Linked DNA regions of Xenopus tropicalis. The protein of the gene in region 1 purifies or fractionates together with the protein of each later gene. This does not show direct contact. Links are inferred from orthologs where the notes say so. Each region holds a gene or a part of one and is shown on either strand. Other genes may lie near its edges.

Region 1 (5,607 bases):
TTCTAACGGTCTACAAGCTCTATTATAGATTTAATTTGTAGACTGTAAGCTCAACAGGGCAGGGACCTCCTTCCTACTGTTTCTCATACCACATGGCGCTTAAAGGAACAGTAACACCAAAAAATGAAAGAGCTTTAAAGTAATAAAAATATAATGCACTGTTGCCCTGCACTGGTAAAACCGGTGTGTTTGCTACAGTAACACTACTATAATTTATATAATAAGCTACTGTGTAGCCACGGGGGCAGCCATTCAAGTTGGAAAAAAGGAGAAAAGGCACAGGTTACATAGCGGATAACAGATAAGTTCTGTAGAATACAATAGTGTTTTATCTGTTATCTGCTATGTGCCTGTGCCTTTTCTCCTTTGAATGGCTGCCCCCAATGGCTACACAGCAGCTTATTTATATAAATTATAGTAGACTTTCTGAAGCAAACACACAACTTTTACCAGTGCAGGGCAGCAGCACATTATATTTTAGTTACTTTTATACACTTTCATTTTTTGGTGTTACTGTTCCTTTAATCTCTGTGTATTTATTCTTATTTATTGTATTTATTATAACACTTGTCCTCCCTGTGTGTAATTGTGCACTGCGTATCCTTGTAGAGTTTTATAAATAAAGTTATACATACAATTCTAGATCAAAGTTTGGCTAGCAGTATAGCAGATGTATGGTGCTCAAGAAAGTAAGTGGAAAATGTTTTTTATTTATTTGGTTTCTTATATCCATTGTGTCAGCAGGTACCAAGGGTTAGGGTATGTCGCTAACAATCTGAAGGAAGGAAACCATAAAAACGCCCACTTTCTCCTGCTGCAGATTATACAGGCAAGCAGAGACAGGACGAAAAGTATCACAATATCTAGCCTACTTAAAGGGGCTGTTCAACTTTGAGTTATCTTTTAGTAACTGTTAGTTATTTTTTATTATTTGTAGTTTAATTATTTCAGTTTTTGCTTAGCAGCCCTGTTTGGAGTTTTAGCAGCTATTTGGTTGCTACAATTGAAATTACCTTAGCAACCAGGGTGTGGTTTGAATGAATGAAAGACTAAGGAGACTAGGAGAGGACTTGAATAGAAAAATAAATACTAAAAAAGTAGCAATAACAATTAAACTGAAGTTTCACAAAGCAATAGTTTTTTGGCTGTGGGGATCAGTGACCCCTGTTTAAAATCTGCAAAGAGTTAGAAGTAGGAGACAAATAATTAAAAAACTATACATAATAAATAATGAAGACCAATTGAAAAGTTGCTCTGAAGTGGCCGCTCTATAACATACTAAAAGTTAACTTAAAAGGTAAACCACCCCTTTAAACACTAAGTGAGAAAGTACATTACTTTTTTTCACATTTTGTCAGAGCAGACCAACAAGAATTTCTGGTGTCTATAATATAAATCTGCTAAACTGAACTCCAATTCCTATATGCCCCTGAGGCCTAAAGAAAGCTATATATTGACCTTATATTTTTCCATGATAGTTGGCTTACCCTAGCAAAATATTTATTTTATTCCTAATTTTTATTGGCAAAAAGAAAAGAAATTTGGCAGACCTACAAAAACTTTCAGATCCATCTGGATAAAAGGTCAATGGTCAGAGCTAAAAATGCAAAAGCAAAGATCTGATTGGTTGCTATAATTAAGCCCATTGAACAGTTTAGAACCTGTTAGTAGTTTATCTAGGAGTTCTTGGCCTCTTGGCGACTGACATTGTTTGCAGTGTATTTTTAGGCATTTTGTTTCAACAATAGAAGCACATTTTCAGACAAAAAAAAGTCTCATTTCATATTGACCTTAGTCATTTCACAAAAACAAAATATATTTAGTAACTGAAAACTGCTCAGCGCTTACCCCTTATCAGAAGTACATACAGATGAAAAGTAAATAATAAGATAGAACAGGAATTATAGCATCCCTTCAAATTAAATTTGTTTAATCTCCCCCAAGATGTCACAAAGCTTGGATATTCGTAAAGGGTCACGAGAATGCTTTTATATTATGAGTTGTTAAGGGTACTGTTTGATTTATCAATAGCATTAACTTTATACAAAGAAAGAAGGCTCTATCTAATGCATGTAAAGTGGTATAAATGAAAATTTACAAAAGAGAGGCCACTAAGTTCTCAATTTTTCTGCAAGAAAGTGCACCACCATTTGCCTTCTCTGCTCTAGACCAAAAGCCTGTGCATATAGGCCAAAAACAATACAAAATGTATTTAATCTCACAGTAGCCCTGTTGGAAAAAACTTGTGACTTTAACAGAAAAACTCCAAAAGGTAACACTGATATTAATATTATAAGAGATATATGGCCTATCCGAATTTCTAAAACAATGGAACTCTAAAAAGTATACAGGTATAGCACCCATTATCCAGAATGCTCGGGACCAAGGGTATTCCAGATAAGGGGTCTTTCTGTAATTTGGATCTCCATACCTTAAGTCTACTAAAGAACAAATAAAACATTAATTTTACCCTATGTGATTGTTTTACATCCAATAAGGATTATTTATATCTTAGTTGGGATCAAGTACAAGATACTGTTTTATTACTACAGAGAAAAAGGATATCAGTTTTAAAATTTTGAATTATTTGATTAAAATGGAGTCTATGGGAGACGGGCATTCCGTAATTCGGGGCTTTCTGGATAATGGGTTTCCGGATAAGGGATCCCATACCTTTATATGACTTAACAATTTACATGACAAAAATACATGTTAGAAAGAAAAGCGATATATCAAACAAAAGGGCCACTACTTTGATTGCATTTATACAGCACTGATAACCTCTGAAATGCTGTGGAAAAGTGTAACCACCATTTACATTAGTCCCTGCCCCAGAGAAGCTTGCAATCTAGGGTCGCTACCACATTCACACAAACTAGGGTCAGTTTTATCGGAATCCAATTAACCTGCCTGTATGTTATCAAAGTGTGGGAGATGGTAGAGTACATGGAAGAAACCCCAAGCAGATACAAGGAGAACTTTTCACACTGTCACAGTAGTTTTGTCACCAAGGAAAAAAAAAAACCAAAACGCCTTTCTTATTACCTTCAGAAGTACAAAGAACTCAAATATTCTGCGAAAGGAAGGGGGGAACAGTCTTGCGTAGGTCACAGCCATCTTGAAGAACAATGCATGGAAGAGACGATCTCGAACATTAATCAAGGGATTCTGATTCAGGTTAGGAGTTCGAACACGGTTGCCATTAGCGTTATTGAGAGGAATATTACCCTGGTTCTCAGACATCTTGATGATGGTTTGGGGGTAAGCAAAGGTGCCTGTACACAAAGCAAAAGTCATCCTTATCACATATGTCCAAGCAATAATAAACACACATGGTGTATGTGTACACGTAACCTAGACGGATATATTTATAAATAAAACGCACAGACATCAATGTTAATGTGCGGTGAGATTATCAATGTGGGTGCAGGGTAGACTTATTTCTTTCCATATGGCTGCACAAGGATATCACAGTGTATTGACTTATTTTCTATGGCTAAAGACAAGGACATGCGTTTATAAACCTGTGCTAAGGCCATTTAGGGGCAGTACAGTTATACTTACTGTACTTTATCGCATACCGCCCAAAAGTCCCACTTTTGCCGGGACAATCCCGGTCTTCTTAGCAAAGTCCGCAGTCCCGGTTCGCTGTTTAAAAGTCCCGCAGCGCCGTTAACGTCTAGCTCCTTGACTCCTGCCGGACAGCTAATCCAGACGTCACAAGCCTCATCTCGCGATAACGGTGACGTCACGGTGAACGTATATATAAGCGTACGGACGCTATACGTTGTCTCCGTGGGGGAGTGACAGGCTAGGTCGAGGTGGTTTAGTGTCTGGCAACTACAAACAGTAAGGCGCTATGCGCTGTGCTGGCTCAAGCAATAGGGGGCCGGTGGTTCACAATTTTTATTTTCTCTTCCGCTCTTACAAGTTATACGTATCAATAGTTTATCAGAAGTCTTTTTGTTTTGCCCCCAGTATCTTCTATCAGAAAGTTAAAAAAAAACTTTTTTGAGAGCAAAATATACTTACTGTTTTTTGGGTTTTTTTGCTGCGCTCACATTATCTTCTTTTCCAGGGCAAATACATGTAAACACCAAAAACAAAACCATTGCAACAAATCCATTTGTTAATCGCCTTGTGCCAGGATGCAAAAAAAATAATCTTTTTTTTTTTCTTTGACTTGCATTTTATTTTTTCTCTGGTGTTTACTGGCAATCAGTGTTGGACTGGGATGCCAGGGGCCCACCAGAAAACCTTAGCCCATGGGCCCACGCTCTCCAAACTATTTTTCACCCATTTCTTACTCAGTCTCTATATTTTCATAGTGTTTTTTATCTTTACATACTATAATCTATTCTATATATTTAGTTGCTTTGTTCCCATAGAAAAATAAGCAATGACCATGAATTAGGCCAAATAGCTAGAAGCTGGGGGGCCCACTGGCACCTGGGCCCACCGGGAATTTTCCTGGTATCCCTGTGGGCCAGCCCGAGACTGCTGGCAATACTTGCTTTCGCTCCAAATATTTGACCAAAAAGTAATAAACATTTTTTCTCTGCTCAAAGCTTTGATTTGTGCAGTGAACAAGTCACCTTATTCCTGTTTGCCAACAATACACACAGCCACTAGATCCACTACTACTGTAGCAGCAGAGATTTTATGTTTAAAAGGGACGTGTGAAAAACAATATCGTGCCAACAAATTGTACTCATCTAAATATAAAGGAAATGCTTTAAAAAAAGTAGTGTTTCGGTCGGAAACTTTGGACGACTACAGGCTTCAGGAGTGCGCATGCGCATAAACGGCAGAGCGAGAAGACAACGGTGGGCGTCCCCGCACCGGAGGAGGCGGCGGGCGTCCCCGCCGCCCCACTAGACTACCAGGTATTGTTACATTCTTGTCTGTGGGATGGCATTTCGAGATTAGTCACCCACAATAGCGAAGATTTATCGGGGGCAAGTAAACTCGTCGTGTGCTACCTCCCTTAGTGTGTACTATGGAGAACGAAGCCAGTATTGCTGGTAGATCATCAGTACCTGATTTCCAATTTTTAAAAGAGTCTTTGGAGGAGCAAATTTTATTGACAGTAACTGGCCAACTAAATACATTACCCACTATTTTTATCTTTTATGATACCATCTAACTCTGTTGGTGATGAGATGCATATTATAGTACAGAGCAGATGAGCCCTTTTAAATATACATTTATATATTTATATTATTTTGTATTTGTAATTTAGACCCCTTACATTAAGCAATCAATATTAAATATTATTTGTACTGATTCCATAATAAATAATTCTAACTATCCTTATACCAGATACATATTTTTGTTAAAATACCAACAATATGCCTCTTAGCTCAGAAACTGTTACATAAGAATGGAACCATAAATATAGGCTTGATTAAAGGAGACATATTGGATAACTAAAAAAACCCTAATCTTGTAACAGCCCTGTAGACACACAAGCAAAGACAGGCTTCAGTTCCCTATCAGGTCAGCATGGCAGCTGAGTGATTCCTATCCTATAGTGCAGTGTGATGAGTGCTGCCAGCCCCCATGCACATCCAGATAATTCAGCCAGCAGGAAGTGGAACAGATGGG
Region 2 (5,760 bases), on another chromosome or scaffold:
TCCATTCTAGTAACATTTCTCTGTTACTAGTATAATCTAAATCCATGAGCATTTTTGTTCTAAATTCACTGTGTTCTTTTATTTTAGTTACTTACAGGAACATACAAGAAAACCCAAACCTCCATCACTGCCAATTGTGCTGCATATAAAGTGAAGAATGACAAGGTAATGGTCTCAGGTTATTTTTTTTTAATTTTTTTTTAAAGGGCATCACAGTGGTTCAGGCTCATAATGTTGGCAGGTCACAGCATGGTATACATAGGCAATGTATTATCCATTGGCTGAGAAAGGTGGGGACAAGTTGTAAAGTACAGAGGAAAATTGTGCTCCCCAGTATGCTTTTTACAAAATGTAAATGTGCAGGTCGGAACCCACATATATATCGTAGTTAGTAATGTTTTATTGTTGGTAAAAGGTGGCATTACATACATGTACACTTAATAACTGAAATTTTTTTTTATTTATTGTATAGATTGTATAGTCATCTATACTCATGTTTCCTCCCTGTGAGAGAAAACCATGTGAAACCTTGGCAAATGTAGATGTGCCCCTGACTCACACATACCCACCCCTCAGAGCACCAAAGCCTTTTCTCTACCCCAACATGTTTCTTGCTCAAAAGTGAAGGATTGTGGGACTTGTTGTTCCTTTACCTGCCCAGTGTCCCATAATAATATATATAATATTCCTGTTCTGGTATTTTGGAGCCCAGAGAGGGTGTTAGTGCAGCTTCTTTGCCGCTAAGTCTTTGTGACTTGGTTGTACTTAGCCTTTATTGCTCTAAAGCCAACGTTCTTTTTAACTGTTTTTATCCGCATTTGTGTTAGCATTGCTAAGGTGTTGGTTTCAGATGGAGGTGTGTTTATTTTCATTCCTGTTTGCTGGAAAGAATTAGATGCATACAGGTGTTTTACAGTATTTGAAAGAAGACTTAACAGTACTGTAGAGACACTCGGATTTTTTGGTGGACCAAACAAAAGCCGCATATAAGCTTTCAGGGGGGACCCTTCTGTTAGGTGTGGTTTTCTTTGCATTCATGGAATAAATGCATTAAAGCTTTGTTTGGCCATCCAAAGAATCTGCATGCATCTTTTCTTGTATAATAGAGGACTATGGCTTGGAGATGTTTGTGGACATGGTGAGCTCCAGTTCCTCATATCTAATGTGAGCAGTGTGTGCAAGAAAACATGTTATTCCATGAACTACTTTTATCCCACAGACAATAAATAATTAACAACATTTTGACCATTTTACCTTTTGATTTTTTTTTTTTTCTCCCAAAGGGTTCCAGTTTGACGCTTGTTGACCTCCCTGGCCATGAAAGTTTGAGGCTTCAGTTCCTGGAGCAATATAAAGCATCAGCAAGGTATAACCTATAAGTACAGTCTTGGAGCATGTATGCTATTTGATTCGTTAGGGACAGGCATAAAAGACACACAAATGTTAAAGTTAGCTCTGATACTCTGAGGCAATTTGCAGTTGGTCCATTTTCTATATATTTTGTGCAGTTTATTGCATTTATCAGGTGCTAAAACATAAAGTGCTATTATCTATTCCTCATTTTTCTGATCAGCTCCTAACTATTCATCTTCCAGCCTGCCATTCAAACCACTATTAGTGCAAGTGAGACTCTCCCTGGCTATTGCCCATATTCATCCATGGACAATGGCGTGTAGCTCTCCCCGTTATGGTACAAACATTTTTTATAAGCTCACATTACATAGATGAAATGGCAGTGTACATACTTAACCCAAATGAATAAAATATGTAACTGGCTAAATGTGTCTCTACAAAATATTAAAGTCTTTGGTTAAATGTCTATGCAAATTTCAAAAATGTAACGGAGCAATAGCCTAGAGTAGGATTTGTTCAGAAAATGAGAGACTTGTTAAGCGGCCTAAATATTCTTACAAAAGGCATTAAGGATAAAACAGTATAATTTACATTTGTTTCAGGGCATTGCTGTTTGTAGTGGACAGTTCCGCGTTCCAGCGTGAGGTGAAGGAGGTGGCAGAGCTTTTTTACCAACTTTTGACAGATGTTGCAATACTGAAAAATGTGCCACCAATACTTATTGCGTGCAATAAGCAAGGTATGTGCCTCTCTCCGATATTTATACACAGGCTTTTAGGGGGCTCATTTATTAAAGCTGGGCAAAGCTGCACCTGGGCAGTAACCCATATTAAAGGAACAGTAACACCAAAAAATGAAAGTGTGTAAAAGTAACTAAACTATAATGTGCTGCTGCCCTGCACTGGTAAAAGTTGTGTGTTTACTTCAGAAAGTCTACTATAATTTATATAAATAAGCTGCTATGTAGCCATGGAGGCAGCCATTCAAAGGAGAAAAGGCACAGACACATAGCAGATAACAGATAAAACACTATTGTATTCTATATAACTTATCTGTTATCTGCTATGTAACCTGTGCCTTTTCTCCTTTTTTCCAGCTTGAATGGCTGCCCCCGTGGCTACACAGCAGCTTATTATATAAATTATAGTAGTGTTACTGTAGCAAACACACCAGTTTTACCAGTGCAGGGCAACAGTTTATTATATTTTTATTACTTTAAAGCTCTTTCATTTTGTGGTGTTACTGTTCCTTTAAACAATCATGGCTAATCTACTTGACTGTCTCTGCTGTGATTAAAGCAGTGAAAGGAAAAACATGTTTGATTACAATATGCAAATTTGCCCAGCCTTGATAAATGAGCCCTAGAAGTACTCTCTTCATCCTTTAGTGTCATGGCACATGAGGAGATAAGTCACCCATGGTTAATCTTCGCTTCCACGGGCACCGCCTCTTCCTGAAATTCCTTTCCACTGGCAATAAAGAGAACAGCTGGTGGGAAGGTATTTTGGAAAGTTTAGGCACCTGTGGGAGCGGAGATTTAACTGTGACCAACTAATCTCCCCTTGTGCTTCTGAGGAAGTGGTGGGACACCACGAAACGCATAAAGCACAGGTCCTTTGGATGTACATGTGTCCTCTTTTTTTTATTTTACACATGATTGAATAAAGATTGCCTTTTTTTTTAATTCAGCTCCTTGTGGTGCTCCCCTTTAATCTCCAAACTTTCATGTGACTGTATATCTATATCTATCAATCTATCTCTATTAATATACATACAGTACTTGTGCACTGGACAGTAGAATTCCTTAAATGTTTTGTTTTAATTTGAGTTCTCCTGCATGTCCTGTTTGTCCTTTAACATTTTCTTGGTAGACTATTATTTGTATGCTTGAAGCCCTGCAACTTTTGTCTGCAGCCATTAATTTATGTCTTAATATTCTCACAGATATTTCAATGGCCAAATCTGCCAAACTTATACAGCAGCAGCTGGAGAAAGAGCTGTAAGTAACGATAAATCACTCTGGGGGAAATTCATTCAAAGCATACATTGGTCATACAAATTAATAGTTTTTTGCATTGCACATAATGCCTATTAAATATTTAGCACAGTGCAATGTTTTGCATAATGTCTAGTAACATCCTAAATGGGGCTGTGCTTCTCACTGCCAGAGAGGCTTGTGATACGCTGCAGCATATTGCTCTATTATATATGCTGATATTTTTATATACAAGTCTCTTTTCCTTCTTTCTGTTTAATAGGAACACTCTTCGTGTCACCCGCTCAGCTGCCCCTAGCATCTTGGAGAGTGGAAACTCTGGCGTCACGCAGCTTGGGAAGAAAGGCAAAGACTTTGATTTTACCCAGTTGCCTATGAAGGTAAAATTCCTGGAATGCAGCACTCGGGACAGTAAAGAAGAGGACGGTGATGCCAATATCAGTAATGTTGAGGGCTGGCTGGCGAAGCTGGTTTGAGAAACTTTTCCCAAGTTGTACAAGGACACAGGTGCTAAGATGATGAAACATTGAATGGATTTTTCTGCATCTTGACTCGTAAGGGAAACCCTTATTTGGTTGGTGCCTTGTTCATGACTGCTGCATTGGTGAGGCTGCCGCTTTCTTACTATGCTTTAGACAAAAGAAACGTGCAGCTCTGAGGAAACAGTGTCTATTTTGTCAGCTCTTGTACTCCATGTCACTTGAACAATAACCAAAATGTAATGAATTCCTTACATGCTGGATTTCCACCTCCCATTCTGTGCTGAGGGAATGGTTAATGCAGAGCAACCTGTATTTCTCCAGCCTTTGTCTAGCTACAACTTCCACTGTACCATTTACAGCCTTTGGCATGGACGTTAGGTACATGTTTAGACATCTGGAGGACCACAGGTTGTGTTGTGCCACCAACCAGTGGCTCAGGGGCAACATGTTGCTCACCAACCCCTTGGATCTTGCGCTCAGTGCCCCCAAACCAGGTAGTTATTTTTGAATTCCTGACTTAGTGGCAAGTTTTGGTTTAATAAAAACAAGATTTACTCCCAAATAAAGCCTCCTGTAAGCTGATAGAGACTGCCTAATAGCCAATCTTAGCCCTTATTTGGCACCTTCATGAACTTTTATAATGCTTTAGTTGCTCTCCAAGTCTTTTTACATTTGGCTGTTACTCACTAGTAAGAAAGGCTGGGAACCCCTGCTCTAGGGACATATATTTATTTTGAATTTGAACTTTCAAATAAATCAGTATTAAAGTGGAAGTTCACCTTCAGTTTATTGCTATGTTTTTTTATTTATTTATTTTGCCATCCCTCTTTGTTTTATTCTTTTTAAAACTTCTTCAGTCTGCTTTGTCTTTCTTTTTTGTCATTACTCTCATGACTAGGGTCAGCAATCCTAGAAACTAGGCAGTACATATAAATCTTTTTAAACTGCCAGTTTAAGTGCACTGTAGAGGAATCAAAATATGGTGTCAATTTGTATCTCATGTATTGTGCTGTTTTGAAAGCACATTGCGTTAGTATTGCTTTTTCTGGGGGGGTGAATACAAGAGAATTGCAAGGCAGAGAGAATTCTAACAGAATATAAGGGGAAAAGGAGAGCACAAGTGTGGTCATGAGAGAAAAAGAAAATAGATGAAGTGGACACCTGAAGAGAAGTCAAAAGAAGGACTGGGGGAAAAAAAGAATGGGAGATGGGAGTTAAAAAAAAAAAAAAAAACAAAGAAAATAATTAAAGAGAAAACAACATTTTGGATCAGAAAATAACAAGAGTTAGAAAAAGAGGGAACAAAAGCAAGAATCAGAAAATTATATAAGGTGCTAAAGCAAAATGTTGAGGCACTCTTGGACTCTGCATTGTGATCTACCTTATCAAGTGCTTTGCTGATCATCTTTCAATGAAGCTATTCTATCTTAGAAATGATTGCTTATATAGTGCTAAAAGTACATTTTGGGGTAAACTGTTTTTAATTCTGCCTTAAGTTATATATTATAAGAACAAGCTCAGCACTCTTCTGCACTCATTTTTAATATTGCGTGCCCTTCCTCATGATACATACAAGGTATGTACAAACACAGAAGAACTTTCAGCCATGATTATGCAAAAAAGCAAGACAAGAAGCCCATCATTACATGAGTCCTTACTGCCCCCAGTAACTATCATTAGCTTTGTGTAACAGTATAGGCCTTCCAATTCCTTTCTTATGAACCCAGCGTCATGACCGGTTTATCTATAATCTTTCAATAACCAGTTATCAAAAGGCATTGGCAACAACCACTGCAACTATGAGCTTTCTGCTAGGGAGGTTCTGCTTGTTGAATGTATCACCGCCATATATCAAAAGGCTACAATACTATATATAAGCATGGCCCCTGGGTCACACCTGCAGCAGTGGTTGTCAAGCAGTCTGTTTCT

Evidence for each region. The genes of interacting proteins can lie anywhere in the genome.
Region 2: the proteins of tmem259 (region 1) and srprb purify together in Homo sapiens (affinity purification with mass spectrometry; 3 studies listed by BioGRID and IntAct, counting the BioPlex papers as one, with this or other methods). This does not show direct contact. The link is inferred for Xenopus tropicalis from reciprocal best matches to the Homo sapiens genes TMEM259 and SRPRB.

Annotation. Positions count from the first base shown.
Region 1 is NC_030677.2:100,353,697-100,359,303, reverse strand, and holds the start of tmem259 (membralin), read right to left. Parts: upstream 3,696-5,607; 5' UTR 3,565-3,695; intron 3,276-3,564; 5' UTR 3,244-3,275; coding exon 3,046-3,243; intron 1-3,045. UniProt on the Homo sapiens protein: May have a role in the ERAD pathway required for clearance of misfolded proteins in the endoplasmic reticulum (ER). Promotes survival of motor neurons, probably by protecting against ER stress.
Region 2 is NC_030681.2:129,996,084-130,001,843, forward strand, and holds the end of srprb (signal recognition particle receptor subunit beta), read left to right. Parts: intron 1-87; coding exon 88-165; intron 166-1,283; coding exon 1,284-1,366; intron 1,367-1,955; coding exon 1,956-2,092; intron 2,093-3,297; coding exon 3,298-3,352; intron 3,353-3,611; coding exon 3,612-3,825; 3' UTR 3,826-4,692; downstream 4,693-5,760. UniProt on the Homo sapiens protein: Component of the signal recognition particle (SRP) complex receptor (SR). Ensures, in conjunction with the SRP complex, the correct targeting of the nascent secretory proteins to the endoplasmic reticulum membrane system.